Linked DNA regions of Stegostoma tigrinum. The protein of the gene in region 3 purifies or fractionates together with the protein of the main gene of each other region. This does not show direct contact. Links are inferred from orthologs where the notes say so. Each region holds a gene or a part of one and is shown on either strand. Other genes may lie near its edges. The genes, in order: ss18, creb1b, smarca4a and ddx5.

The links.
Region 1: the proteins of smarca4a (region 3) and ss18 purify together in Homo sapiens (affinity purification with mass spectrometry; 8 studies listed by BioGRID and IntAct, counting the BioPlex papers as one, with this or other methods). This does not show direct contact. The link is inferred for Stegostoma tigrinum from reciprocal best matches to the Homo sapiens genes SMARCA4 and SS18.
Region 2: the proteins of smarca4a (region 3) and creb1b purify together in Homo sapiens (affinity purification with western blotting; 3 studies listed by BioGRID, with this or other methods). This does not show direct contact. The link is inferred for Stegostoma tigrinum from reciprocal best matches to the Homo sapiens genes SMARCA4 and CREB1.
Region 4: the proteins of smarca4a (region 3) and ddx5 purify together in Homo sapiens (affinity purification with western blotting; 3 studies listed by BioGRID and IntAct, with this or other methods). This does not show direct contact. The link is inferred for Stegostoma tigrinum from reciprocal best matches to the Homo sapiens genes SMARCA4 and DDX5.

Annotation. Positions count from the first base shown.
Region 1 is NC_081358.1:125,259,773-125,267,147, forward strand, and holds the start of ss18 (protein SSXT), read left to right. Parts: upstream 1-4,369; 5' UTR 4,370-4,996; coding exon 4,997-5,065; intron 5,066-7,375. Other genes in the region: proteasome subunit alpha type-7, read right to left, coding at 1,127-1,253, 3,516-3,617. UniProt on the Homo sapiens protein: Appears to function synergistically with RBM14 as a transcriptional coactivator. Isoform 1 and isoform 2 function in nuclear receptor coactivation. Isoform 1 and isoform 2 function in general transcriptional coactivation.
Region 2 is NC_081360.1:14,409,384-14,416,426, forward strand, and holds the start of creb1b (cyclic AMP-responsive element-binding protein 1b), read left to right. Parts: upstream 1-4,030; 5' UTR 4,031-4,209; intron 4,210-4,217; exon of another isoform or gene 4,218-4,301; intron 4,302-4,383; exon of another isoform or gene 4,384-4,455; intron 4,456-4,489; exon of another isoform or gene 4,490-4,687; intron 4,688-5,214; 5' UTR 5,215-5,364; intron 5,365-7,043.
Region 3 is NC_081388.1:12,628,571-12,635,696, forward strand, and holds the start of smarca4a (SWI/SNF related, matrix associated, actin dependent regulator of chromatin, subfamily a, member 4a), read left to right. Parts: upstream 1-4,117; 5' UTR 4,118-4,207; intron 4,208-5,765; exon of another isoform or gene 5,766-5,882; intron 5,883-7,126. UniProt on the Homo sapiens protein: ATPase involved in transcriptional activation and repression of select genes by chromatin remodeling (alteration of DNA-nucleosome topology).
Region 4 is NC_081375.1:10,864,862-10,872,741, forward strand, and holds the start of ddx5 (probable ATP-dependent RNA helicase DDX5), read left to right. Parts: upstream 1-4,862; 5' UTR 4,863-5,205; coding exon 5,206-5,249; intron 5,250-5,793; coding exon 5,794-5,965; intron 5,966-6,836; coding exon 6,837-6,933; intron 6,934-7,880. Other genes in the region: trichohyalin-like, read right to left, coding at 4,364-4,562. UniProt on the Homo sapiens protein: Involved in the alternative regulation of pre-mRNA splicing; its RNA helicase activity is necessary for increasing tau exon 10 inclusion and occurs in a RBM4-dependent manner. Binds to the tau pre-mRNA in the stem-loop region downstream of exon 10.

The DNA.
Region 1 (7,375 bases), on a different chromosome or scaffold from region 3:
CTGAGTTGGACGATCAGCAATGATCGTGAAGAATAGTGGAGCAGGCTCGAAGGGCTGAATGGCCTCCTCCTGCTCCTGTCTTCTCTGTTTCTATCAGACTTAATTCCAGATTTTGTTTGTGAAATAAAATTCAAATTCCACCATCTGCCATGCGGGATTATCTGGGTTTTTGGATTAATAACCTTGCACTACACTGTTACCTCCCCAAGGGACCAGCACTTATCCCCGTGGAACGCCAGTGGACACCGACCTCCAATCGCACAACCAGCCTTCCAGCACCACCTTCTATCTCCTACCATTAACCCAATTTTGGGTCCAACCTGCCAAGCCTACATGCTTCTACGTTCATCAGTGTCCCCTGTGGCACCTTGTCAAAGGCTTTGCTGTCCTGCAGTCAGCATTGGTCCCCTGTTCTAACTGAATAAGAGCTGAACTTGTTGACCCTTCTCAACACAACCCACTTCCACATACCTGTCTACAGCCATAAACATCATCAACACTGACTGAAATGCAAGTTATTTCTTTGGGGAAAAGATGATATGAGACACTGACAGAAACTTAGGAACAGGAGTAGACCATTCAGCCCCTTCAACCCATTTCACTGTTCAATGTGCTCACAGCTGGTCTGTGGCTTAACTTCAAATACATGCCTTTAGCCTAGGTCCCTTAACACCTTTGCTTCACAAAAAATTATTTCAAATTAAAAATTAACAACTGATCTAACATACCAGCCATTTGTGGAAGAGAGTTCCAAACATCTATCACCTTTCTGTATAGGAGTGCTTCCTAACATCTCTTCTGGATAGCCTGGCCCTAATTCTCAGACTCTTCCGAGTTCTAGAATTGCCAATCAGTAGAAATAGTTCATTGTTATTAACTCTGACCTTTCCTGTCAATATCTTAAAGGAGTCCCAATAACTTTCCAAATTCTGGAGAACACATAAACAGTGACAGTTATTAGAGCCTGAGGCGTTCAAACAGTCACATCCAAAAACAATTTCAATGATGGATGTTTCCTCAACCTTGTTGATATTTTTTCAGCCATTTTTTAGAAAACAAATAATAAAATAAAACAAATATAATTAAGTTGCATTAAAAAGCCCCAGAAGGAAATCCCAAAGTATACCTGCAAATGCCATGCAGACATGGTCATCAAGTGCACAGATTTTTCTCACTGTTCTCTCCTCCTGAAGTTTTGCAACAGACTTTTTCTCCACACCAAGAACAACTATATCTTTACCTCGAATCCCAACCTTCAAAACGGGAAGAGTAAGCACAGTGAGTGAGTAACCGAAAGGAAAAAAAACTTACAGGACTGCATGACACTGCAGACATGGTTTGCTTAGGGGATACTTGTCTTCATTAGCCAAAGCATTGAAGACGAGCAAGGAAGTTATGTCGGAACTGTATACAAGATTAGTTGGGCCACTGCTGGAGTACTGAGAGAAGATCTGGGCAGGACATTATAGGAAGGATGTGATTGCCCGAGACAGGGTGCAGAGGAGATTCACCAGGATGTTGCCTGGACTGGAACAATTAACCTACAAAGAGATACAAGATAAGGTGAAGTTGGTTTCCATACAGCAGAGAAAGCCGAGGGCAGGATTTGAGTGAAGTCTCCCAAGTTTGAGGAGCATAGACAGCATAGCTCGGAATAGACATTTTCTCTTGGTAGAGGGATTAATAACCAGAAGGCACATTTTTCAGCTCAAGCGCAGGACCTTCAGAGAGGATTTGAGAAAAAAAATTCAGAGGGTTGTGGGTGTTTGGAACTCTCTCTCTGAAAAGGGTAGAGGCAGGAACAGTTGAGACATTTAGGTAATACCAAGATGAAAACTTGAAATGCCACAGCAAACAAGGCCATAGAAATGGAATGAGAAGAGATGGAGGTTTAACAACTAGCATAAATGCAATAGGTGAAGGCCCTCTTTCCAAGATGTAAAAACTCTTGACTCTGTTCAAGTAAATATCTTGCTAGGTTACTTCAGAGAGAACTTTGGCATTTGTTCATAAATTAATAGAATATAAAAGTAGATAAGTATTACTGCAACTAGACAAGGCATTATAAGATTACATCTGGGATACTATGTAAAATGTTGGTCACTTAATTGAGGAAGAAGGTAGTTGTCTCAGACACAGATCAAAGGAGATTTACTCAAAAACAGAAATTGCCAGGGAAAGTCTAGCACCAGTGAAGAGTTTAAAAAAAAGAGAGTTGACGTTTTGAGTCCAGTGACACTCCTTCAGGGCCCTTCTGAAGGTTCACTGGATCTGAAACATTGATCATTTGTTTCTCTCTGCACGGTTGCTGCCAGACCTCCTGAATTTCACCAGAGATGAAGGGCTTGTCTTATGAAGAGAGATCAAGCAGTTTACATATAGATAGAACATTTACATAGAACATTACAGCACAGTACAGGCCCTTCGGCCCTCGATGTTGTGCCAACCTGTCATACCGATCTCAAGTTCATCTAACCTACACTATTCCATGTACGTCCATATGCTTATCCAATGACGCCTTAAATGTACGTAAATTTGGCGAATCTACTACCGTTGCAGGCAAAGCGTTCCATTCCCTTACTACTCTGAATAAAGAAACTACCTCTGACATCTGTCCTATATCTTTCACCCCTCAATTTAAAGCTGTGCCCCCTCGTGCTCGCCTACACCCTGGAATGTTGGGCACGGTCCCTTGGCATAGGGCAGCAGCAAAGTGGGCACTGTGCTGGGGCAGGGGAGGAGGAAGCATGTGGGGGGTGCCACTGTCCCTGGGAGGGGGGGGGGAGCGATGTGTGGAGAGATGTGGGGGATCACTGTCCCTAATTGGGGGTGGAGGGGGCAAAGAAGGAATATGGGTGATCACCATCCCGTGTGGGGGGGGGGGTCACTGTTTCAGGGGTGGTCACTGTCCCTTGGGGAGGGGGGGGGCGTGTGGGGGTCACTGTCCCTTGGGGGGGGCGCGTGGGGGTCACTGTCCCTTGGGGGGGGGCGCGTGGGGGTCACTGTCCCTTGGGGGGGGGCGCGTGGGGGGTCACTGTCCCGGGGAAGGGGGCGTGTGGGGCGTCACTGTCCGGGGGGGCAGGGGGTCACTCTCCCTGGAGGGAGGGGTCGTGTGGGGGGGTCACTGTCCTTGGACGGAGGGGGCGTGTGGGGGTCACTGTCCCGGGGGGGGCCGTGTGGGGGTCACTGTCCTTGGAGAGAGTGGGGGGGGGGCAGGGGGGTCACTGTCCTTGGAGGGAGGGGGCGTGTGGGGGTCACTGTCCTTGGAGAGAGTGGGGGGGGGGCAGGGGGGTCACTGTCCTTGGAGGGAGGGGGCGTGTGGGGGTCACTGTCCCGGGGGGGGGGGCAGGGGGGGTCACTGTCCCGGGGGGGGAGGGGGGTCACTGTCCTTGGAGGGAGGGGGCGTGTGGGGGTCACTGTCCCGGGGGGGGGAGTGGGAGGGGGGGGCGCGCGGGGTCACCGTCCCTGGGGGCTGTCACTGTTCCCGGAGTGGGGCGGTTCTACTACAGACTCACCGCTGTCGAGCCTTTCTTCACGGCCTCTTGCGCGTATTCCACTTGAAAGAGATGTCCGTCTGGAGAGAACACAGTGATGGCTCGGTCATAGCGAGCCGCCATAGCCGCGGTCAACTAATCCACCCCCCCTCCCCGCCCAAGACCGGCCGTAACGCACGCGCACAAACGGACGGTAGGCGCAACGCACGCGCACGAGCCGGCCGCCGGCACAGCGCACGCGCGCGCTCGAACCAGCCGCCAAACTAAAGGACTCCACTGCGCACGCCCTCATGGAAGGGGCGGAGCTGTGGCCAATGGACTTCACCAATTAAACAGCTTCTCCGGAGGGGCGGTAATATCATTTCGTTCCATTATATTATTAACGCGCAGCATCAGTAACGAAAATCCCATTTTTGAAAGGAAGTTATTAATTATTCTTCAATTTTCTTTTGTTCGTTGCGTATATTTGGTGGGACAGTGTGTGTATTCTACACATTGGTATTCCTCACCCCCTCTCCCGACTACTGGGTATAGTTTGATATGGCCTCAGGCCGGAAGAAACCACAAAGAGGAGGGGGAGGATTGGACGAAATCCAGCTACATAACATCAGGGCGATCTGACAGAAAAAACATCTATGGACTGCAAACATTATGCATCTTGAAATTAATTGACCCCCTTTACTGATTGAACATGTTGAAAAACATCTATTTTCGTTGCAACTTTGGTTGCATCACTGCCAAAAAAAAGTCGCTTCCCTGTTCCAGATTCTGGTCTTGAAACCAGAAGGAATGCACCATTTGTCTCCAGAGGGGAGGGTGGGTACTGAGGACAACTGTAGAGGCCTGGGAATGTCTGGCTTTATTGATTAGTAAAGTACACGGTAGTTATATTCGTGGGAAGCATTTCATGTCCTACTCTGGCCCAATTCGGATTTGTTGCTTTACTCTGTGTAGGAATTGCTTGCTGTTGAATCCACAAAATCCCCAGTGGTTGCAGTGTAACTGGCAGGAGTTTATCCGGAATTCTTCATTCATTAATGGGGGAGATCCTCAGCTGACTGATTCATTAGAAATTGCACCCAAAATACTGCACTGTCTCCCCAGTCACTGAAAATGCACTGGATCAGAATAATGCAGGCACTTGCAGCCCTCTTTGTCTCCTTGCACAGCTGCTGACAACTTCTTGCTGCAGCCCTGGTGTGCATTTTCTACCTTACGCCTTTTAGTGTTGGGGCTGGAGGAGGGGTGTAAACTCTGCCGTTTCCCCTTCCTCCCACAGCTACGAGAGATTTTTTTTAAAAAATATAGTAGAATCTCTTTGAAGAGGGAAGAAAAAGAGCGCTGCCTGTTTCCAAGGAGGAGGAGTTGCTACCATGTCTGCTGCATTCTGTATGCTGTGTGGGTGAAGAGAGGGGAGGGAGTGAAGGGGGGGGGAGAATAGAAATAAGAGAGGAGTGGAAGGGTGAGAAATAGACTCAACTCCATACACAGAGCAGAGCACGATGTCGGTTGCTTTTGCTACTCCCCGGCAACGCGGGAAAGGTGAAATTACACCTGCCGCCATTCAGAAGGTAATGTAGCGAGTTTTGGAACGTTGCGACAATGTATCCGCTCAGATTGTTACACTGGAGGGTTACATTGTAGCAGGCGTGCAACAATGTAACCTATACATACACACCGGGGGGGAGGGGGCATCAGATCATGAAGCCTTTGTATTCGTAGAGTCCCGTTAAGCTTCAACGGGGAACAAAAACCATTTTCTTCTTCCCTGTGTATTTTGTTTTAAAAATAAGATTCCGTGGGGAGAGGGGGTTCCTATACACTCACCCAGATACGAAAAAAATGCTTGACAGAGAGGGGGAATTTTGCTCTCGCGGCCATGATGAAGGTCTTCAACTGTTTTTGGGAGAACATTTTTTTTCTCTTTGTCTTCCCCCCCCCCTCCCCCAGAGCTTCTTGAAGCTTTTACAGCCTCATTCCTAAGTCCAACCTCGCTCAGCGAAATTCACAAGCGCCAGGAAATGATCATTTTCTCATAAGTACAATTGGGTTGGCAGTTAACTTTTAATCCGTCTCCAGTAATTTTTTTTTCTCTCTCCGAGGTTATTTTTTTCTTGCAATGTCTGGTTGGATTTGAAATGTTCCCCTTTTCTCCACCCCTTAAGAATACTTCAGATCTGCTGATGGATTTGATTTCACGTTTTTTTTTCTATTCATTTCAACCAACTTTAATTGTTCGAGTTGATGTGTGAGCTTGAGCGAGTAACACGTTCTGGGGGAATTTCTGTTACATCAATTTTACGACAAGGTCACTGCTTTTTTTTCGTTTGTTCTGAGCTGAGATGTTTACTTGTACTCCTGCGTTTTTGTTTATTGTGCTGGAAATAGCAGTTTTTGCACAGTTGAGGTTTGACTCCTGTCCTGTTTCGCGTTCCTCCCTTGGCATTTCCCCTCTGGGTTGTCTCTTCGCAGCCGAGCTATTTTGCCAAGTCACGGGCTACGTTTTGGGTCATGTTGCTGGGGCAGGTTTAAACCCAGAAGCCTAGCCGTTTCAGCTGGAGACTTGAGTTCAAATCCTAGCTTGGCAATTCCAAGTCTGGGAAGCTCGGTTACACTCGGTCTGGCCAACGGCGCAATTTTTAAAAATTGTCCAGATGAAACGAAATATTGTGGACGCGAGGAGGGTAGTCATGGACTTGGAGAGGACACGACTGGAAGGGGCAGCTGAAATTTAACACAGAAGTAGAAATTGCTGGAAAAACCCGGCAGGTCTGGCAGCATCTATGGAGAGAAATCAGTTGACCTTTTGGGTCCAGTGACTATCTCCACCCTTCCGAACTTTCGGATTTACAGCCTCCTCAGTTCGACCTGTTTTAATGCAGATGAAATGTGATGTGGAGAAGTCTGAGGAAAGCAAAGGGACACGATAAAACAAGAACACAATTTTGCTGAAGAAGGGGTGTGATAACACGGTGTGGAGCTGGATGAACGTAGCTGGCCAAGCAGCATCAGAGGAGCAAGAAAGCTGACGTTTCGAGCAAGGGTCCCGACGCGAACCGTTAACTTTCCTGCACCTCTGCTGTCTAGCCTGTTGTGTTCATCCAGCTCCACACTGTATTGTCTCTGCGATGAAATGAAAGCCCTTATTCTCCAAGGGGCTGCGCAGGATTTGGGGATTGGTGAGTGCACCATTTCTGCAAGGCAAGGAGGGAAAGTGGTTGGAAAGGCACAAAGGATCCCTCCTTTTTAAAATAAGCTTAAACAGTACAACTCATTCAGCCAGTAACTCACTGTTCCAGCCTCACCTGAAATCTAGTGCTGAATTCTGGGCTACACACTTCAGGAAGGATATGCAGGTCTTGGAGGGAGTACAATGTAGGTTTACCAGAATGAAACCTGGACTTCAGGCATTAAGTTATGAGGAGAGATTATACAAACTGTTTTCTCTAGAATTTAGAAGGTTGAGGGTGATCTGATCGAAGCCTTTAAGATGTTAACAGGAAAACATAAACAAATTACTTAACAAAAATGTACCTAAATTATTAATGACTGTGGGTCAAAGACAAGTACATGGAGTTAAGTCACAGATCAGTCATGATTTCATTGATTGGCAGAACAGGCTTGCAGGGCTGAATGGCCTACACCTATTCCTCCTTGTCAACATGTTAGATGCAGATTTTCAGAGGCAAATGGTTCATAGTTAGGGTGTAACTATAATCCAGAGGACCAGGCTATGGGGTTGCAAGTTCAAATCCCATCACAGCAGCTGGTAGACTTTAGATTCAATAAATAAAAATCTAGAATCTAAAGCTATACTCCAGACCACAGCAAAGTAGTTGACTCTTAACTGCATATTTGTCACTTTCAGAAGTTCCTATTGA
Region 2 (7,043 bases), on a different chromosome or scaffold from region 3:
TTCCCATGTATCTGCTGTCCACGTCCTTTAGATGGCAATACTTGTGCATTTATAAGTGCCCAGTGAGGAGCCTTGGTAAGTTTCTGTGATACAAAGAGTCATACAGCATGGAAACAAACCCCTTGGTCCAACCAGTCCATGCCGAAATTAATCCCAAACTAGTCCCACCTGTCTACTCCTAGCCCATATCCCTCCAAACCTTTCCTATTCACGTACTTAACCAAATGGTTTTAAAATGTTGTAATTGTACCCACATCCACCGCTTCGCCAGGAAGTTCATTCCACACACAAACTGCTGTTGAGTGTCAGTGGTGGAGTGGATATTTCAGTATGTGATGGCAATCAAGCGGGCTGCTTTGTCCTGTATAGTGTCAAGCTTCTTGACTGTTGTTGGAACCACACTCATCCAGGTAAGTGGGGAGTAGTTCATCACACTCCTGACTTGCGTCTTGTGGATCATGGATAGGTTTTGCGGAATCAGATGGTGAGTAACTCACTACAGTATTCCGAACCATAGACCTACTCTGGTAGGCAAGGTATTTACATAGCTAGACCAGTTCAGTTTTTGTTTAAATGGTAACTCAATGATGGTAATGCCTTTGAATGTCAAGGAATAACAGTTAGATTCTTTGATGTTGAATATAGTTAGTTCCGAGTATTTGTTTGGTGGAAATGTTTGTTGCCACTTGTCAGACAAATGTGAATACTGTCCATAAGACCATATGAAATGGGAGCAGAAATTAGGCCATTCGGCTCATCGAGTCTTTTCCACCATTCAATCAAGGCCGATAAGTTCCTCAACATGCTGTCCCTCCTTGATCCCCTTGATAATCAAGAACCTATCTATCTCAGTCTTAAATGTACTCAATGACCTGGCCTCCACAGCCTTTTGTGGCACTGAATTCCATAGATTCACCACTCTCTGGCTGCAGAAGTTTCTCCTTATCTCCATTCTAAAATGTCTTCCCTTTACTCTAAGGCTAAGCCCTTGGGTCCTAGTCTCTCCTACCAATGGAAGCATCTTCCAACATCCACTCTGTTCAGGCCATTCAGTATTCGGTAAGTTTTCATTAGATCCCCTCACCCTTCTAAACTCCAATGAATATAGTCTCAGAGTCCTCAAATGTCCCTCATATGTTAAGCTTTCCATTCCTGGGACCATTCTCATGAACCTCCTCTGAACCCGGTCCAGAGCCAGTACATCCTTCCTGAGATATGGGGCCCAAAACTGCACACAATACTCCAAAAATGGCCTGACCAGAGCTTATAAAACCTCAGTAGTACATCCCTGCTTTTATATTCAAGTCCTCTCAAAATAAATGCCAACATTGCACTTGCCTTCGTAACTACTGACTCAACCTGCAAGTGGACAGAATCCTGGGCTAGAACTCCCAAGTCTCCTTGCACTTCAGACTTCTGAATTTTCTCCCCATTCAGAAAATAGTCCATGCTTTTATTCTTCTTGCCAAACTGCATGACCTCACTTTCCCACGTTGTACCCCATCTGCCACTCCTTTGTCCACTCTCCTAACCTGTCCAAAGCCTACTGCAGCCTCCCCAGCTCCTCAATACTACATTCCCCTCCACCTATCTTTGTATCGTCTACAAACTTAGCCAGAATGCCCACAGTTCCTTCATCTAGATTATTAAGTATAAAGTGAAATGTTGTGGTCCCAACACTGACTCTTGTGGAACACCACTTGTCACTGGCTGCCATCCTGAGAAAAACCCTTTTATCCACGCTCTATGTTTTCTGCCAGACAGACAATCTTCTATCCATGCTAGCACCTTGCCTCTAAACCATGGACCCTTATCTTACTCAGCAGCCTCCTTCGCAGCACCTTGTCAAAGGCCTTCTTGAAGTCCAGGTAGATAATATCCATTGACTCACCTTGAACTACCCTGCTCGTTATTTCCTCTAAGAATTCTAGCAGATTTGTCAGCAATGTCCTCCCCTTGATGAAACCATGCTGACTTTGCCCTATTTTACCATACATTTCCAGATATTGAGAAATCTCATCCACTACAATAGACTCCAAATTCTTACCCACTAATTGGCCTGTAATTTTCTGTCTTTTGCCTCACTCTCTTTTTAAATATATCTTGCTGCAGTTGGACATGGATTATGTTAGTATCTGAGTAGTTGCGAATGGTGTTGAATATTGCACAGACATAAATGAATGACGGGAGGCCAATGATAATGCAACTGTAGATGGTTGAGCCCAGGACGCTGCCCTGAGGAACTCTGCAGAGATGTTCTGAATCTGAGATGACCAAACTCCAACAACTACAATCATCCTTCTTTGTGGACATATGACTGCAACCACCAGGTTTCCTTTTGATCGCCACTGACTCCAGTTTTGCTCAGGATCCTTTACATAACACTCACGTAAAATGCAGCCTTGATATTAAGAACAGTCACTATCACCTTATCTGTGGAATTCAGCTTTGTACATTTTGATCCAAGGCTGAAATGAGGTCAGCAGCTGAGTGGTCCTTGTGGAACCAAAACTGATCATCAGTAAGAGATAACAGTTTGGAGCTGGAGGAGCACAGCAGGCCAGGCAGCATCAGAGGGGCAGGAAAGTTGATGTTTCAGGTCGGTACCTTTCTTTTCTGAAGGGTCCTGAACCGAAGCTTCAACTTCCCTGCTCCACTGATGCTGCCACGCCTGCTGCGCTTCTCTACCTTCAGTGTTATCCCTAACTCCAGCACTAGCAGTTCTTACTATCTCTGATCATCAGTAAGCACATCTTGGTAAGTGCTGCTCAACAGCACTGTTGACAATACCTTCCATGACTTCACTAATGATTGGACAGTGGACTGAAGGGAAAGTAATTAGCTCGGTTAGAATTGTCTCGCTTACTACATACAGAACCTACCTTGGTAGTTTTCCACATTGTTGTCTAGATGCAGGTATCGGCTGCATGGGGAGGGTATTGCTAATCTTCATTTCTGAATCACTGCAATTGATGGGGGAAGACACATAACCAAAGCATTGTTAAGTGAGTTCCAGGATTTTAGCCCAGCCACACTTGCAGATCAGTGATATAGTTCTAAGTCAGGATGAGTGTATGGATTAGATGGAAACTTACAGGTGGTGCTATTCCTGTGCTTCTGCTGTCTTAGTCCTACTAGATACTACAGGTCACTTTTTGAGATGTTCTCCAAGGTGTCTTGGCAGAGTTGTTGCAGTGTCTCCATGGTACACATTGCTGCAACTGTGCATGCATAATGGAGATGCCAGTCAACTGGGCAGAAGGGAATATCACGAGGGGAGACAGCATCGGAGGGAGGAGCCATCAAGGAAATAGATAAAATCATGAGCAGCCCATTCAACACCTTGGAGCTTGCTTCACCATTCAATATAATCAGGACAAACCACTGAGTTCAATGCCCTAAACCCACCCTCTCCGCGTGTGCCACAAAAGCTCTATCTACTCTCTTCTTGAAAAACGCAACTTTGGTCCTCAACCATTTTCTGTGGTAGGGAATTCCACAGAATCACCCACTCTCTGCGTGAAGAAGCTTCTCCCTATCGCACACTGCAAGTTTTACCCCTTATTCTTGAGCTTTGACTCCTGATTCAGGACTCCGCCACCTTCAGGCATCTAATCTGTTCCATCATGTTAGAATTTCGCAAGTTTCTATCACGGAGGTGGAAGAAGGGAATATTTTGAAGGAGGAACAGCATGGCTGTAGTGGGAGGGGGCGGGGAAAGAACTCATGGTGTGCAAGAGAGTATGGCATGGGAAGAGGCGAGGTAAACTGCACTGCAAGAGAGTCGTGATTGAGACCGCGTGGGGCGGCTCTTCAATACTTAAGAGGAAGTAACATTGCAAATAAGGGTGCAGTTTTTAACCGCGATTATTATGCGGGTCTCTACTGGTCAGCAAATATCCAAACACCCCCAATAAAAACAAATTCAGGGCTGGGAAAGTTGCGCATGCGTACATATACCCCCGCCCGGCGTTGGATCCAAGCGAAGGGGGCCGCGGCGCGCACGCGTAGTAATCAAACGTTCCATTAAGGAACTATTTGCGCGTGCTCTCTTTCCTTTTCCGGAGTTCACGTTTGTTTGTTTTGTTTTTGTTCATCCTGAGTTACACACCCTGATCGTTCGGTGGGGGACAGAAAGCGTGTCTGATTTTTAAAACATAAACGAAACTGACAATAGGATGAGACGTTACATTCGGAACCGATTCAACAGTGCGTACCTGGCGCGACTCGGCTCAGCCCGGACTGGGAACGCGCTGGGGCGGTTGGAGTTTGAAATAGGGTCGGCGGCGGCCGCGCGCGGGTCTCTAGTTGTGCGCTTGCGCAGTTTGATGCAAAAGACGCCTGGCGGTAGCGGCGGGGATTCCCCACTGTCCACGGCGGGTGCGTGCACGCGCAGTTTCCGGAAGCTGGAGCGTGTTGTTGGGGGGAGATGGGGAGTTTAGCGACTGCGCACAAGTAGGTTGCTCCTTCCCTTTCACCCCCCCCCCCCCCCCCCGCTCCACCAGCACACATCCCTGCCGTTCCTCTGTCTGCGCCGGGAGCGTCTCAGTCAGAGAGAGAGAGAGGCTGACTGACTGTGTGAGTGAGTGACGCGGTGGAGGTGTAAGGGACTGACGCGGTGTTTACGTCTCGGTGTGAGTGTCCAGTGGCAGCAGAGAGAGCCGGGGACTTGAGGGAAATAAAACCGGTAAGCGAGATAAATCGAGAGAGAGATAGATGGGTTGGTGTGGGTGTGGAGGGGCGGTGTTGAGGAGGAGGAGGAGGTGGTGGTGTTGGTGAGTGAACAGCAGCTTGCATCTGAACAATGGCGGCTGACTTGTTAGTGAACAGGGCTCCTGGATTGGAAAGAAAGAGTGAGCGAGAAGGGTTTCTCACTCTTCCCCGTTTCTACTCCAGGAACACCCCCCAGCAATGTTTATATCGAAAAGAAAACACACCCCCCCCTTTCCCACAAACCAATCCTTCCCCCGCCCCCCACCCCTCGTTTTACAGAAAAGTCCCCGCCAAAAATCTTATGCATTAACATTTCTTAACCAACTACCACCACCACCCCCCCCCCAACAAACACCTCCCAGTTTTCGGTTTCTAAACACGTTTTAAGAAATGTAGCCACCAGGGAAACTGGCTTGTTCCTATTGCAACATCACTTTTTTTTTCTCTCTCTCAATTTGGTGTTTAAAATAAAATGGGCGTCGGACCGCTACTGTGAGCAAGAAGTGAGAAGATCACGGGTCGTTGTTTCCTGTGCCATGACTGTAATTTCTACACACGTTTGCTTTTAAATCGCCCCCCAAAAAATCGCGCAGTGCCCTGCCCGTGTTGGAATCTCGCTGTGCAAGAGCCCCATCTCCCCCGAATCCTGAGGTGCGGAAATGCATTTGAAACTCCACAAAACATGTTTCATAATATAAATTCTTTCAGCAGTACAGAAATCCACGCTTCTTGGATTAATAGTCTTCTAAAAAGTGAAAGAATGTAGTTCAACTACTGTTAGTGATCTCGTATATTTCCTACAACATATCCGCAAAATTGCTTGCGCCCATAATACATTTTCGCCATGATGAACGGTGCCACAAACAGCTATAGTTTTGTTTAAACAGTGAAACTGAAATAATGATGCAGATTAAAAGTTAACGAGTATGTTTCAACCCATGTGATCCTCCATGGATTTGTTCTACCAGTTCAGAATTAAAATGTTTAATGTAATAATTTGAAGGTAGTTGAAATATTTATTTTGTTTTATAGTAATCCTGTGTATCCATGTAGCATGAATTCTGAAACAATTAACCATGTGCAGGTATGCAAATCTTCTTTGCATATTTCCTGTGGGACCTTTGTTTTAAATGCTGCATTGGCCTAGTTTTCACTTTGCTGCTTAATTCAAGAATAAACAAAGGACTGAATTCACATAATATTGCTTCAGTTAGTTTTGCCATCAGGCCTTTTTGTTAAATGAAGCAATTGCTGTTCTCAAGACAGAATAGTCAGATTTTTTTTGGCTGAATTTTACATGATTTCTCTCCCTGAGGTCTTGACTTTATACAGCTAGGTGATGCTGTGTATTTTTGTTGGTTTGTAAATTTATATGGCCTACATATAGTAATGAATTAGAAACTTTACATTAATGTGGCCTTTTAAAAGGGACACATTTACTTGATTATCAGATCAAGACTTGATCATGGGAGTCATTTATCGAGGGTTTTAAAATACAAATAGGTTTCAAGTTAAAGTACAGTGTCTATTTTTCAGAATATTTTAATCCAGCAGTTATTTTATTGTAATGTATCAGATGGAGGTTTACATAAGATACTTTGTCTAGTTTGTAAACTGTAAATTGGAAATGCCAGAGGCAATGGTCAGTAAATTGGTGAGATTTCCAGAATTTGCTGCTTGGAGCCACAGAGTGGCTCGAACATGCGCTACACGTAGCATCACTACCCTGTTGCCAGATCTGCTCAGATCATAACCTTCATTGAGCCTCAATTTCTGCAAGAACTGCTTACCCATATCTGATTAGTCGGGATATTGGCCCCCCCCCCCATTCTTTACTCATCACATCCTTGGTCCTGGCCCTTCCACTCAAATGTCACTGTAGATGATTTTATAAATTGTTCTCTCTCCTCTCCCAGGAATTATCAACCTTCCCTGTTGAACAGAGAATCTAGTGTCATCTGTTTGCTAGCTTGATCCACTTTTGGATGAGTTTAAACTTCTTTGGTTCATCTAAAACTGTAACCTTCCCATCTCCTCCAATTGTTACATTTATCTGAACCAGACTGTTTCCAGTTTCTGCATTTTTGGGTCCAAAAGAAGGTCACCTACATAATCATTAAAAATGCCTGTCTCCGCCTCAGCCCATCGTTAGGTAAAATCTTCATATATGCTGTTGTCAATTCTGTATCCCATTCTCCACCATACTTAACTTGCGTTCATCCAAAAACTAGAGCTATTATTCCTGTCCCCGATATCTCCTTTGTTTCACTGGCCCTTTGATATTTCTTACTCCCTTGAAGACCCTTAGTAATTTTCTCAGTTCGGGGCTA
Region 3 (7,126 bases):
CCGATGACCCTTCTTGCTCCGTCTCCCCCATTGACCCCCCCGCTCCGTCTCCCCCAATGACCTCACCCCGCTCCGTCTCCACCAATGACACCCCTCCGCCCCCAATGACCCACCTCCTCCGTCTCCCCCAATGACCACCGTCTCCGCCGATGACCCCCCCGCTCCGTCTCCCCAATGACCCCCGTCGCCCCCGATGACCCCCGGCTCCGTCTCCCCCAATGACCCCCGTCTCCCCCAATGACCCCCACGCTCCGTCTCCTAAAATGACCCACCCTGCTCCGTCTCTTAAAATGACCCTCGTCTCCCCCATGAGCCCCCTGCTCACTGTCTCCCAATGACCCCCCCTCCGTCTCCCCCAATGACCCCCCCGCTCCGTCTCCCCCAATGACCCCCCCGTCTCCCCCAATGACCCCCCCGTCTCCCCCACTGACCGCCCCCCTCCTCCGTCTCCCCCACTGACCCCACGTCTCCTCCAATGACCGCCCCCCTCCTCCGTCTCCCCCAATGACCCCCGTCTCCCCCAATGACCCCGTCTCCCCCAATGACCCCCCCGCCCCGTCTCCCCCAATGACCCCCCCGCCCCGTCTCCCCCAATGACCCACGTCTCCCCCAATGACCCCCCCGCTCCGTCTCCCCCAATGACCCACGTCTCCCCCGATGACCCCCCCGCTCCGTCTCCCCCGATGACCCCCCCGCTCCGTCTCCCCCGATGACCCCCCCCGCTCCGTCTCCCCCGATGACCCCCCCCGGCTCCGTCTCCCCCAATGACCCCCGTCTCCCCCAATGACCCCCTTCTCCCCCAATGACCCCCTTCTCCCCCAATGACCCCCTTCTCCCCCAATGACACCCCCACCTCCGTCTCCCCCAATGACCCCCACGCTCCGTCTCCTAAAATGACCCACCCTGCTCCGTCTCTTAAAATGACCCTCGTCTCCCCCAATGAGCCCCCTGCTCACTGTCCCCCAATGACCCCCCCCTCCGTCTCCCCCAATGACCCCCCGTCTCCCCCAATGACCCCCCCGCTCCGTCTCCCCCAATGACCCCCCCGTCTCCCCCAATGACCCCCCCGTCTCCCCCAATGACCGCCCCCCTCCTCCCCCAATGACCGCCCCCCTCCTCCGTCTCCCCCACTGACCCCACGTCTCCTCCAATGACCGCCCCCCTCCTCCGTCTCCCCCAATGACCCCCGTCTCCCCCAATGACCCCCCCGCCCCGTCTCCCCCAATGACCCCCCCCGATCCGTCTCCCCCGATGACCCCCCCGCTCCGTCTCCCCCAATGACCCCCGTCTCCCCCGATGACCCCCGCTCTGTCTCCCCCGATGAGCCCCCCGCTCCGTCTCCCCCATGTCCCCCGTCTCCCCCGATGACCCCCCCGCTCCGTCTCCCCCGATGACCCCCCCGCTCCGTCTCCCCCATGACCCCCGTCTCCCCCAATGACCCCCCCACTCCGTCTCCCCCATGACCCCCGTCTCCCCCAATGACCCCCCCCACTCCGTCTCCCCCATGACCCCCGTCTCCCCCAATGACCCCCCCACTCCGTCTCCCCCATGACCCCCGTCTCCCCCAATGACCACCCCCACTCCGTCTCCCCCATGACCCCCGTCTCCCCCAATGACCCCCCCCCACTCCGTCTCCCCCATGACCCCCGTCTCCCCCAATGACCCCCCCCACTCCGTCTCCCCCATGACCCCCGTCTCCCCCAATGACCCCCCCCACTCCGTCTCCCCCATGACCCCCGTCTCCCCCATGACCCCCGTCTCCCCCAATGACCACCCCCACTCCGTCTCCCCCATGACCCCCGTCTCCCCCAATGACCCCCCCCACTCCGTCTCCCCCATGACCCCCGTCTCCCCCGATGACCCCCCCCGCTCCGTCTCCCCCGATGACCCCCCCCGCTCCGTCTCCCCCATGACCCCCGTCTCCCCCGATGACCCCCCCGCTCCGTCTCCCCCATGACCCCCGTCTCCCCCAATGACCCCCCCCGCTCCGTCTCCCCCGATGACCCCCCCCGCTCCGTCTCCCCCATGACCCCCGTCTCCCCCGATGACCCCCCCACTCCGTCTCCCCCATGACCCCCGTCTCCCCCGATGACCCCCCCCACTCCGTCTCCCCCGATGACCCCCCCCGCTCCGTCTCCCCCATGACCCCCGTCTCCCCCGATGACCCCCACCCCACTCCGTCTCCCCCGATGACCCCCCCCACTCCGTCTCCCCCGATGACCCCCCTCCTCCGTCTCCCCCACTGACCCCCCCCGTCTCCCCGATGACCGCCCCCCTCCTCCGTCTCCCCCGATGACCGCCCCCCTCCTCCATCTCCCCCACTGACCCCCCCGTCTCCCCCGATGACCGCCCCCCTCCTCCGTCTCCCCCGATGACCGCCCCCCTCCTCCGTCTCCCCCATGACCCCCGTCTCCCCCAATGACCCCCCCCGCTCCGTCTCCCCCGATGACCCCCCCGCTCCGTCTCCCCCATGACCCCCGTCTCCCCCGATGACCCCCCCCGCTCCGTCTCCCCCGATGACCCCCCCGCTCCGTCTCCCCCGATGACCCCCCCCGATGACCCCCCCCGCGACCCCCGTCTCCCCCGATGACCCCCCCCGCTCCGTCTCCCCCATGACCCCCGTCTCCCCCGATGACCCCCCCCCGCTCCGTCTCCCCCATGACCCCCGTCTCCCCCGATGACCCCCCCCCGCTCCGTCTCCCCCATGACCCCCGTCTCCCCCGATGACCCCCCCGCTCCGTCTCCCCCATGACCCCCGTCTCCCCCGATGACCCCCCCCACTCCGTCTCCCCCGATGAACCCCCCCACTCCGTCTCCCCCGATGACCCCCCCCGCTCCGTCTCCCCCGATGACCCCCGTCTCCCCCGATGACCCCCACCCCACTCCGTCTCCCCCGATGACCCCCCCCCACTCCGTCTCCCCCGATGACCCCCGTCTCCCCCGATGACCCCCCTCCTCCGTCTCCCCCACTGACCCCCCCCGTCTCCCCGATGACCGCCCCCCTCCTCCGTCTCCCCCGATGACCGCCCCCCTCCTCCGTCTCCCCCACTGACCCCCCCGTCTCCCCCGATGACCGCCCCCCTCCTCCGTCTCCCCCGATGACCGCCCCCCTCCTCCGTCTCCCCCGATGACCCCCCCGTCTCCTCCGATGACCCCCCCTCCTCCTCCGTCTCCCCCGGTGACCCCTAGTCTCCCACAGTGACCCCCCTTCTCCGTCTCCCCGGGTGACTCCCAGTGACCCCCCCTCCGTCTCCGTCTCCGTCTCCCCCGGTGACCCCCCAGTCTCTCCCAGTGCCCCCTCCTCCGTCTCCCTCAATGACCCCTGTCTCTCCCAGTGCCCCCTCCTCCGTCTCCCTCAATGACCCCTGTCTCTCCCAGTGCCCCCTCCTCCGTCTCCCTCAATGACCCCTGTCTCTCTCAGTGCCCCCTCCTCCGTCTCCCTCAATGACCCCTGTCTCTCTCAGTGCCCCCTCCTCCGTCTCCCTCAATGACCCCTGTCTCTCTCAGTGCCCCCTCCTCCGTCTCCCTCAATGACCCCTGTCTCTCTCAGTGCCCCCTCCTCCGTCTCCCTCAATGACCCCTGTCTCTCTCAGTGCCCCCTCCTCCGTCTCCCTCAATGACCCCTGTCTCTCCCAGTGACCCCCCCTCCGTCTCCGTCTCCCCCGGTGACCCCCCAGTCTCTCCCAGTGCCCCCTCCTCCGTCTCCCTCAATGACCCCTGTCTCTCCCAGTGCCCCCTCCTCCGTCTCCCTCAATGACCCCTGTCTCTCCCAGTGCCCCCTCCTCCGTCTCCCTCAATGACCCCTGTCTCTCCCAGTGCCCCCTCCTCCGTCTCCCTCAATGACCCCTGTCTCTCTCAGTGCCCCCTCCTCCGTCTCCCTCAATGACCCCTGTCTCTCCCAGTGCCCCCTCCTCCGTCTCCCTCAATGACCCCTGTCTCTCCCAGTGCCCCCTCCTCCGTCTCCCTCAATGACCCCTGTCTCTCCCAGTGCCCCCTCCTCCGTCTCCCTCAATGACCCCTGTCTCTCTCAGTGCCCCCTCCTCCGTCTCCCTCAATGACCCCTGTCTCTCTATCTCCTTTCTCCCCCCATCCCCCAAACCCGCAGTCGAGACTCTGCGCATGCTCGCTGGCTGCCAGCCCCGCTCGCGGTCTTACCGGCCGTTTCTCTTTGTTCCATTAAACAGCGCGAGCGGCGCCTCCAGTCCAGGTAAAAGCCTCTCGGCTTCTCATCTCTCCAGGACCGGGGGCTTGTGGGCGGGTAACCGGGGCTGGGCAGCGGGGAGGGACCGGCGGATGAACAAGGTCCGCTACCGGTTTGCTGTTGAATGAGGGGCGGCGCGGCTCGGTTGCCCCGGCGCCGCTTTTATTGTTTAAAAGACGAGATTGAGCTGCAGGCCCCGCCGCTCGAGATGGTGGCGCATTCGGACTAAAATTAATTAGTTTATATTGCGATTAATTCAAAATATATTGTTTAGCCAGATCTGAACAGCGGAGGGAACTGCCTGGCTTTATTGCACTGTTCGATCAGCTGTATTATTCTGTACATGTGTGTGTTTCTCACGTTAGCGCTTTCTGCGTGGGTAGCTGCTGAAGGAACAAAGCATCAATCTCTGTTTCTGCAAAGACATGTTATTTGTTAGTTCAAAAGAAAACTTTATATTTGCTGCATAGGCGATACTTTTAAATATCTCTTGTAGTGTGTTAGGAAACATCCATGGTATGTTTTAAGTTGCAATAATGCCGTATGAATATGACCCCGTTTGAATGTTTTCCCTTCCCCTTTTGTTATCTCAATAAATCGAAAAATATAGTCGTTTACAAGTTTTTGTTATGATTGTAGAGCTATCTGTTGTGAATTGATGCTGTACCCTGTTGAATATTGTTGTTTATAGATTTTCCATTTCTTTTAAGTATTTTGCATATGTGAGCCTGGAAATCGGGATGTGTTGTTTATGATGTGGTTTCAGTGATGACCTAGTTTATTATTTAAAATGCAATGTGGATGTTCATAACTAATTTCAAAGACTAGAGTTGCTGTATAGTCAGTTTCTGTTTTTTTTTATTTCTTATTTTTCCCTGACCCTGATAGCGTGAACCCAGCTAAGTAGACAAGTGTTTGAAGTTCTTAAAGACGAAAGTACAATGCTTTGAACAATGCAGTGTTGCCTCCTGCCTGGAAAGTTCTGCTCCAGACTAAGCCCTCTTCCCACATACTTCTATTAACCAACTATGGTTCACAGAAAGGGAGAATTAAAAGCAGCTCTGTTATAAGCTAACTTTGCTTCCTGTTGGGTGCAAAGGATGACATTGACAGATGCAGCCGTTCACGGTTCAGCTCATACAGCTTTCCTGTGGAGGCTATGAAAAACTTGAGTTTATTTTTATTTAAAATTTCATTTTCCTCTCAAAGATTTTGTGGGGTTCAAGAAACTGCAGACATCTCTTTCCCTGGCAAGATGGACAAACTATTTGATTGTAATAGGCTTTGCAACAGAGCCAATCTGTTCTCTTCACAAGCTAAGAATGAATAAATGGAAAGACTGGGCAATTCAGCATGTCAGGCAGATGTTTCATCAATTAACATAACAAGAATTTGGAAATTTATATAGTTTCTAAAAGTTGGTGAATGAGGACAGAGCAGTGATAGGGGTTGAACAAAGTGCAAAGTGATAGTGATTATGAGTTGGAATGGTGACCATCTATCTACCTGTTGATCTCACATGGAAGTAATGATCTTTCTCTTTCTCATCTTACACATGTGGAAGATTTATCTACAATTGAATCCCTCCAGATACAGATTTTCAAAAATGTGGTGAACTTTACATAGGAAGGACAGCCCCTGCAGCGATACAGTGTCCTTGGGTTGCTATCCTGTTGAGCTGGTAAGAGGCATAAGCTTAAATCACGAAAGCAGCATTTTTAAAAAGCACTGCTAGCTGACCTCAGCCAGTCAGTTGTTCTGACAGAAAAGTGTAGGTTGTGTTTCAAAACATGATCAATTCTGCATAAAATAAATGAAAGATGGAAGTATATCATTCTTTGAGCAGAAGGCTGAGTTAGGGCAGCTCTTCTGTGTGGTAGAGTAAGCACTTGCTTCAAAGTGGAGAGGTCATACAGGGCAAGCTTCAGAGCCACTTGACATTCAGATCTGCCAACTTCATTTGGTCTGAACTTTTATCTTGTCAATTGGACTGTTTAATTGGAGGGATGACTCAATGAGAGATGGGAGAAAACACTTTGTTTTGTTCTAATTTGTTTGTAAGAGTACATTGTAGATATATTTTCTCCTTAAGATTGTTATTACTCTTTTCCAACTCACCAAGTTCCTTTGTAGAACTAGCTACAGTATTTCCTTCAGCAGGAATTGCCAGTCTGAGCTCAGATGCAACTTGGTCTGACGCTCCCTGCTTGTGACTGTGTAAAGATGCACTGAGTATTTCTCAGCCATCCCTAAGCAATGGTAGCTCTTGGGATTGGCAGCTGTGTGGACTGTAATTCAAGCCTGCATTGTGCATTCGCATTCTTATTGACTAGTGTCATCAAGGCACTAATATTTTGATGGATTGCTGGGAAGTTCATTGAAGTCGCTACTTCCTAAATGGCTTTGCCCCTCTAGCCCATAAGATGAAATTTGTGATGTGCCCAGTAGGACAAAGAGTGAGCTGTGGAGAAAACTCTGTTAGAGCACAGTACAAAAACAGAAATTGCTGGAGAAACTCAGTAGGTCTGGCACCATCTGTGGAGAGAAGGTGGAGTTAACGTTTCAAGTCCCTCAGACAGCATCTTCCAAATTAGAAGGAGAAGGACAGCATCTTAAAGTTCCCTCCGAGCCACTCACCATCAACGTTCCTTCACTGTCACTGGGTCAAAATCTTGGAATTCCTTATGCATTGTAGATTAACCCACAGCAGGTGGACTGCAGCGGTTCAAGAAGGCAGCTCACTACCAGCTTCTCAAAGGCAACAAGGGATGGGCAAGAAATGCTGGGCCAGTAATGCCCACATCCCAAAAATGAATAAAAAAAAGTCCAGTGACCCTCCCTCAGAAACAATCCGTGATTTCATTCCAAATGTTCAGCCAGCAACAGGCATTTGTATCAAATCTTAAACTTCCAAGGCGTCAGACA
Region 4 (7,880 bases), on a different chromosome or scaffold from region 3:
GGCCTCCTGCATTGCCACAATGACACCACCCGAAAGATGCAGGAGCAGCATCTCATTTCAGGAACCCTGCAGCCCAGGGGTATCAATGAGGACTTCACAAGCTTCAAGATCTCCCCTCCCCCGACCGCATTCCAAAACCAGCCCAGCTAGTCCCTGTCTCCCTAACCGTTCCTCCCAACTCAAGCCCCAGCCCCGTCTCCTACCCACTAACCTCATCCTGCCTCCTTGACCTGTCTGCTCGCTGGACTGACCTATCCACCCCTAACTCCCCACCTACATTCACCTTCACTGGTTCTAACCCCGCCTCTTTGACCTGTGTGTCTCCTCTCACACTATCATCTCCTTTATCCATTTTCTATCCGCCTCCCCATCTCCCTATTTATTTCAGAATCCCCTTCCCCTCCCCCATTTCTGAAGAAGGGTCTCGACCTGAAACGTCAGACTTTCCTGCTCGGCCTGCTGTGTTCATCCAGCTTCACACCGTGCTATCTCAAGTAGAGGCAGCAAGGTTCCCAAAGGAATCAAAATCAAAGACCGCTTGGGTCTCGTGTGTACACTCTCAAATATTACTTGAGAAAAAAAAAATTGACATTTTTGGATTAAGTAAAGGTAAAATAAAAGAATATGATCAGATAGAAAATTGTAGAATAGCAGTGCACAAGCTTTTCAAATGTTGGCACTGAGCAACAGTTCAATCTCGATCCTCCTCAGGGTCAGCAAAATTCAGAAACACAAGGAGTACCACAATATAAAATTAAGCTTCAAAAAATTCAAAGGCAATAAGTTGATAATTTAGTTAATAAAAAAATCACCATTAAAAATACAAAATGACAAAACTCATTAATAAAGCCAAATTTTGCCAAACAATAAGATGTAGAGGTCCGGAGAGGAGAGAACGAGAGAGAGAGAAAAAAATCAGCCCCAATTCTTGATCACTGGGGTGGTGGTGCTGGCTGGGACCAAGCACTGGGTGAGGCACACACTGAGCAGACCTAGGTAGAACTGACAAGAAAATGGAAGTTGAAAGGTGACTTTCAGCATTAGATTTGCTCTTCTCGTCCTGCTTTCCCTCCATCTTTTCCTTCTCCTGTACTCACCCCTTTTCCCCCTTTCTCTCATCCCTTCCCCATCCTCCATACATCCTCTCTTTGTCATTCGTTGCACACATTTACTTCAAAAAAAATCCATGGGAGTTTGTAATTCAAAAATTTCCGTAATCGTTATCCTATTAAACATTTTACACTGAAATAGAAAGTGTGCAATTTGTTTTTCATTCCTCTCCACTGCAACAGCCTCTCCCCCAGGATACTTTGATATAATCTGATAAAACAGATTTCTGAGTAAGGATTCCTATTCTTCTATCATGTGCGTACAAGCACAGGGTTCAAACTAATTAGAGCATCAATTGGAATCTCAGTATCTTGACCGAACAGGCGAAAAAAAAGGATGCAGTAATACAAATCAGGAGAGCAAAAAGCTAAATCAATGTGCAATATTTTTGGGAAAAGACAAATTAATAGGAATGACACAGCAACCTAACTATCAATCCTATTAAACCCTCCTGCCATCACAACCTGACATTGTTCCTCTACACAATCAAACTCCCACTGCCTTCTCCCTGTGTTGCGGCACATGCCCTTCAAGCCAAAATCTCCTTGAAAGCCTTATATTCCCCAACATGGCCTGTGAAACCACTAGCACAGCTTCCATGCCTGAGGCTGTTTGCAGCTGCCAGTAAAGCAAATGTCAGGCCACATGAAATGCTTTGGCAGGTTGTGCACAGCACGCAGTGCAAAGAAGTGTACCTCCAATTAGAAGACACCAAAGATATGGTAGTGTTTTGGTCCATGGATGCAGGTACTTTATAGAAATTCTAGTGACAAGGCATAAAACTGGGTAATAATGCTGGATTATACTTTGTAAGCTAGTGATATATTACTACGCCTCATGTCTCACGTATTGAAAAGTGTATGACTGCCATGAAACATTGGCTACATAAAAATAAATACATCAAAATGAAGACCTAACTAAATTATGCTGTAGGATGCCAGCTGTTTTTCAATTAACAAATAATTTTTCCACATGCAAGCATGCATTAAGCATTTATCCTGCCTAGCTGCTCAACACTGCAATTTCAAAAGAATCTATTTGTAAATCAAATTATTCTATCTCCTTGCACATCTAGATCTGACATAAAATTGAGCATCATCTACACTCTAGTACATAAATGGGTAAACATTAAAACTTAGTTAAAATCCCAGTGATCTTGGATTGCTAAATTTCCTCTAGTGCTTCAACTAGATTTGTGAGCACTGTTCCAAATGTAGATGCCCTTTGGTAGTCAGAAAGCAGCCTTTATTTGCAGTAACGATGAATTAATGAACTTTACTGTCTGCCTAAAATGGTTATGTAATTATACCTGCTTAAAGCTAAACAAAGCTTAAGAATCAAGTGACTTGTTTAATCTTTACATTTTGTAACATCCTGATGGGTATATTTAATACCAACTGGACACATCCACTTTAGAAGAGCTTATCAACTGGCTTCAAACGTATACACAATTTGACAACAGACTTGATGGTAAAAATCAGAGAGCATGTTTGCTGGTTAGTGTGACTTTTGCACTTATTCATGAGACGTGGGCATCACTTGTCAAGCCAGAATTAATGCCCATCCTTCGTTATCCTTTGAAGGTACTAGCCAGCTACCAAGCTGAACTGCTGCAATCTATTTGGTGTAGGTAGTCCTACAATGCTTTTCAGGAGCAAGTTTACACATTATTTTATTGGGGAAACCACATGCTCTGGCCTGACAACTGGTGTTTTCTTGTCCATCTGTTCTACATTAGAGTAATGGAAAAAAATTAGGGAGAATACACAGCCAACATGTTCCAATAATGACAAAAAGTGGGACCAACACATTCTATGAACCCTGGAGACCAAGGAATATATAGGATTGAATAAAAAAAAGCTTATGGTCTATCAGGAGGGCTCAAAATCCCACAAGAACAGTACAGAATGTGCAAGGGAAATTTTATCAGCCAGAGGGTGGTTAATGTGCAGAACTCATTGCTGCTGAAGACAGTGGAGGCCAAATCATTGAGTACATTTTAAGATCGAGGTAGATAGCCTCTTAATCAGTACAGTGAACAAGGATTACAGGGAGAAGGCAGGAGAATGGGGTTAAGAAACTTTTCAGCCATAATTGAATGGTGGAACAGACTCAATGGGCCAAGTGGTCGAATTTTTCTCCTATATCTTATAGAAGACATTACTAATGATTGGTCTTGAAGCAGATCCTAACCATCTACTCTACATTCATCCAACATTCCACTTAAAAATAATCATTGACTGTAGTGTTCTTGAATTTGCAATTACAAAAGCTAACACATATGAATTTACTGAGATAGCAAGAACTGCAGATGTTGGAGTCAAAGATAACAAAGTGTGGAGCTGGAACACAGCAGGCCAGGCTGCATCAGAGGAACAGGGCAGCTGACGTTTCGGGTAGAAATCTTCGCAAGGATGGAAGAGCAGTAATGGGAGCAATTGAAAGAACCCTGGGAAACAGAGCTTGGCTAGAATATGTTACGCCACAACCAAAACGGAAGGCGCAGTACCACACTCATCTGAGGCGAAGGCGAGAGGGAGTAAAACCAATCGATTCCTTTTAAAAGGCTACTACTAGCCTCAACTCCCTCTAAGTAAAAAGTTGTTTCGGACATTATACCAATTCGTCCAAGTGCATTAAATCTCGGGGGTTAGGGTGACTGGTTGGAAAGAGATATGAGGCGCTGCAAGAACTGGTATTAATAGGAAAGTATTGTATAAAGAATAACTGAACTGTAATTTAGTGTTGGACTGGCAATCGTATTAACAAATAGCATTAGGGTCACTGGACTCGAAATGTTAACTGGTTCCCTTTGCAGAGACGCTGCCAGACCGCTGTCTCTCCAGCATCTTTTGTTTTAATTAAAAACATGCTTGACGAGGACCTGCCCGATATTTACTTTAACCGATAACAGACGCCTCTAAACAAGCTTCTGGTTGCCTTGACACTGTTGGTTGGGTCAGGAAGCTCGAGTTCGATTTATAATGACCACCACACGCAAATATTTCATATTACAGTATATGAAACGAATGGTTTTCCTAGTGTAAAAGTAGACTATAACTAAATACATCGTTATATATGGGGAGGGGGAGCTAGAAATAAGATAATTTCTTGCTTGACATAACTCAAATCATTTCAGACAAAAAAAGTGACAGTTAAAAGACGTGGCAGTAGACTTGATTTTAAAAAAATCAAAACACTAAAACACTGGGAAAGTTTGTTGGGAAAGTTGTCAGCGCGGCTGCTGGCCTACAATTGAAGCCGATTCGACTGCGACCGACCTCTCTCGTCCTGCTCCTCCATCGCCAGCGGTACGGAATAGAAATTCTTTCTCCTTCGACTGGACGCACAACAAATATAAAGTAAGAAACACCAAATAGCTCAGTCGAGTCGGAGTTACAATTAATCAGTTTGTTGTCAGTCCACTGCCATAGCCCCGGACCCTTGTACATTTAAAACGTCTCCAGCCGCCCATTGGCTCTGGGCATGACGTCACCAACCGCCCACCCGCGGAAAATGTCATTACTCCAAGCGCCGCCCCTCGCCTTTTTATTATCACTTATAAAAAAACACAAATACACACTCCCCCCACCTGTCACCGGCAGCGTTCATGTGAATATTTTATTATTTAATCATCGTCCTTTTCGTTTGCTTCCTACCCTCAGTGTCGTTTCATTGACGTCACCCTGTCGCCATGGGGAAGAGAGAGCTCCCCTCCTCGCTCATTTGTAATCGTCAGCGAGGCAAAGTAGGCCCTGTCATTCGAAGATGGGCGATGAAGTTTCGTTTAAAGTCTTCCCTGCCGCCAGAAAGCTGGAACAGCTCGATTCTTGAACAGTGGGATAACGATATGAGGGTGTTGAAGTGACAAAGGGGTCCGGAAATATTTGGGTCAAGAAGTAGCTACGTAGATTTGAATTGCGGAGGGATATGCGGAATGAGTTCCGGGCTCCCCCTTGCCGGCTTTGACTAAAGGCGGACAAGGAACCGGCATTTTAGTTTCGGCTTTCAACCGGCTTCCTCCCTTTCCCACAGTCAGCTCCATATCGAGCGTCAAGTATCTCGTTTGCAGTCCTGTCCTCCACTTTTTCCGCGATGCCTGGTTACGATAGAGGTGATCGGAGTCGGGAGCGTGGCGGGTGAGTTTGTGATTTTTTTTTCCCCCTCTTTCGAAAAACGCACCTTCAGTTTTTTTTTAATCTTCAATTTTTTTTTGGAAAAGAAAAGCCGGTTCCGTTCTGGAGGATGAGAAGAAGCCACCGCCACGCGGTCCGCTTAGGCAAAATCCTGGCTGGTGTGCGGAGCGTGATTTGGCATTTTTTTTAAAAAAAAAGCAAATTCCTTAAGGAACTTCAATTTTTTGGGAGGGGGTTCTAACCAATTAAACATTCTTCCGCTTTGCCATTTTTATTTTGGTCTTGCCGTAGTCTGTTTTTGTTTATTTGTATATTTCGATGCTCTGTTTGACCTCGTGTTACAGGTTTCTTCCTTGTATTGTAGCTAAAATGGCCGGGAGATGCTGTTTTTCGGGGGTGGGTAAAGCTGATCGTGGATGTTGGAGCTACCTTACGGTCTTGCGTCGATAGCCTGTTTTTTTTTCAGATACACGTCTGCTATCGTCTGTCTTTCTCTCTTTTGTTTGAAAAGCGTAATTTTTTTTCCTGTAAAAATATTACATTCCAGGTTCGGTTCGGGTGGACCTCGCTTCGGTGGTAGCAGGAACGCGCCTCCGCCCGGCAGGAAATTCGGGCAGCCGGGGGAGAAGCTGAGGAAAAGAAAATGGGACCTGGACGAGCTGCCCAAATTCGAGAAGAACTTCTACGTCGAGCACGTAGATGTGATGAACCGACCTGTGGTAGGACTGGCTGGCTTTTTTTTTCCTCCCCTCTACCCCTAAACCTTTATTATAATTCCATGTAGTCGTGAGATATACTCGTAAAACTAAATACTGTTAGTGCCGGACAAAATGGTAATCCTTTCATTTAAGGGAGACTCTAAAGGGAAACAATGTGCTTTGACTTGGCAAAGGTGGTGGAGGATGTTGGGCTGACGTTTGTAGCTGATGGGGTTATTCTTGAGTGAGCCGGTGATTCATTCCTATTAGTCACTAAAGGGCGATCTCTGCCCGCCCACTGAAATATACATAACTGCTGAACAGATAACAGTAAATTTTTAGTGTATTTTCAGCTAATGTTTGGTATCCCCCTGGTGGACATCTTCTAACAGACAAGGGAAAATTACAGACGTATACCTTTTTTAGCCTTTTCAATGAGGAAGTATTAATCAGTGGTTCTTGTACTTGTTTCAATCAGTTGAACTTGGGCTGATTAGTACATCTGAGCTTTTGTGTCTATGGAGGTTTTTAAAGCTTTCAGTTTTCCTATTTTTGGATACATATTCACCAGTTATGTATCTTAAACTGTAAATTGATTACTGTGGGATCTCTACTGTGAAGGATGACACTGGAAACAAAAGCAGAAATTACCTGAAATTCTGTAGGTCTGGCAACACCAATGGAGAGAAATAAGAGGTGATGTATTGGGTCTGGTGACCCTCCTTCAGACTGAAGGAAGCTTTTTCTGCAATCTCTGCTTTTGTTTCTGACTTTTTTAGGTTTTATTTTATGGTTGGAACACTCCCTAATTGACTAGGGTTGGGGCTAGATTTATGGATTGCACTTTTTTACACAAATGTTAAATTGGATTTGATGCTGTTGTTGATTGCAGCAAGAAATTGAACAATATAGAAGAAGCAAAGAAATCACAGTAAAAGGACTTGCATGCCCTAAACCAGTTTTCAACTTTGTCGAAGCAAGTTTTCCAAGTAAGTATGGAATACAAGTGCATTAGAACATCTTCTGTGACTATACAGTTTAAATTAGAGGCAAAGCTGTGCTTCTATTATAAGTCAGTTGTACAGCAGGGAAATGGACTATTTAGTCCACACTGACCGTGCTACCAAACTGAACTAGTCCACCTGCCTGATCTTTCCTAAACATGAACTCAGGAAGGATAGTTTTCTAACTTTTATGAACTCTTGCTCTCTAGTTTAATAATTATCCTTGCTTTGGCATGATGGTCAGAACTGTATACAGTACTCCAAAAGAGGCCTCAACATCCTGCACAATCTAAACATGATAGCCAACTCCTTTACTCGGAAGCCTGAGCAATGAAGGCAAACGTGCTAACTGACTTAACCAACCTGTCTACATCTAACAAAAACAGAACCTGCTGTAAAAGCTCAGCAGGTCTGGCAGCATCTGTGTAGTAAATATCAGTTAACATTTTGGGTCCAATGATCCTTCCTCAGAATGTGTGAACAATGTCTACATGTGATGTGAATTTCAAAGAATTAGGTACCTGAACCCCTACATCTGTTCTACAACACTACCCAGGGCCCTACTGTTAATTCTATATGTCCTGTCCTTGTATAAATGCAAAACCCCACATTTATCCAAATTAAACTGTTTGCCACTCATCAGCCCATTGATTCATTTGGTCAAGATCTTTGAAATCTTAGATAACTTTCTTTTCATTGGCTATTCTGCTACCAATTTTAGTGTCATTTACAACTTACTAGCCACGTTTGTGATACACTATTTTCTCTATGTAAAACCATCCCTAATCAATTCTGTGTCTCCAAATGCATGAAAATCCGACCTTTCAGAATCACCTCAACATACTTACCGCTGATGTTAGACTTGCAAGTCTATAGTTTCCTGCCATCTCCTTACAGCCTTTATTAAACAATGACACAACATTAGCCACCTT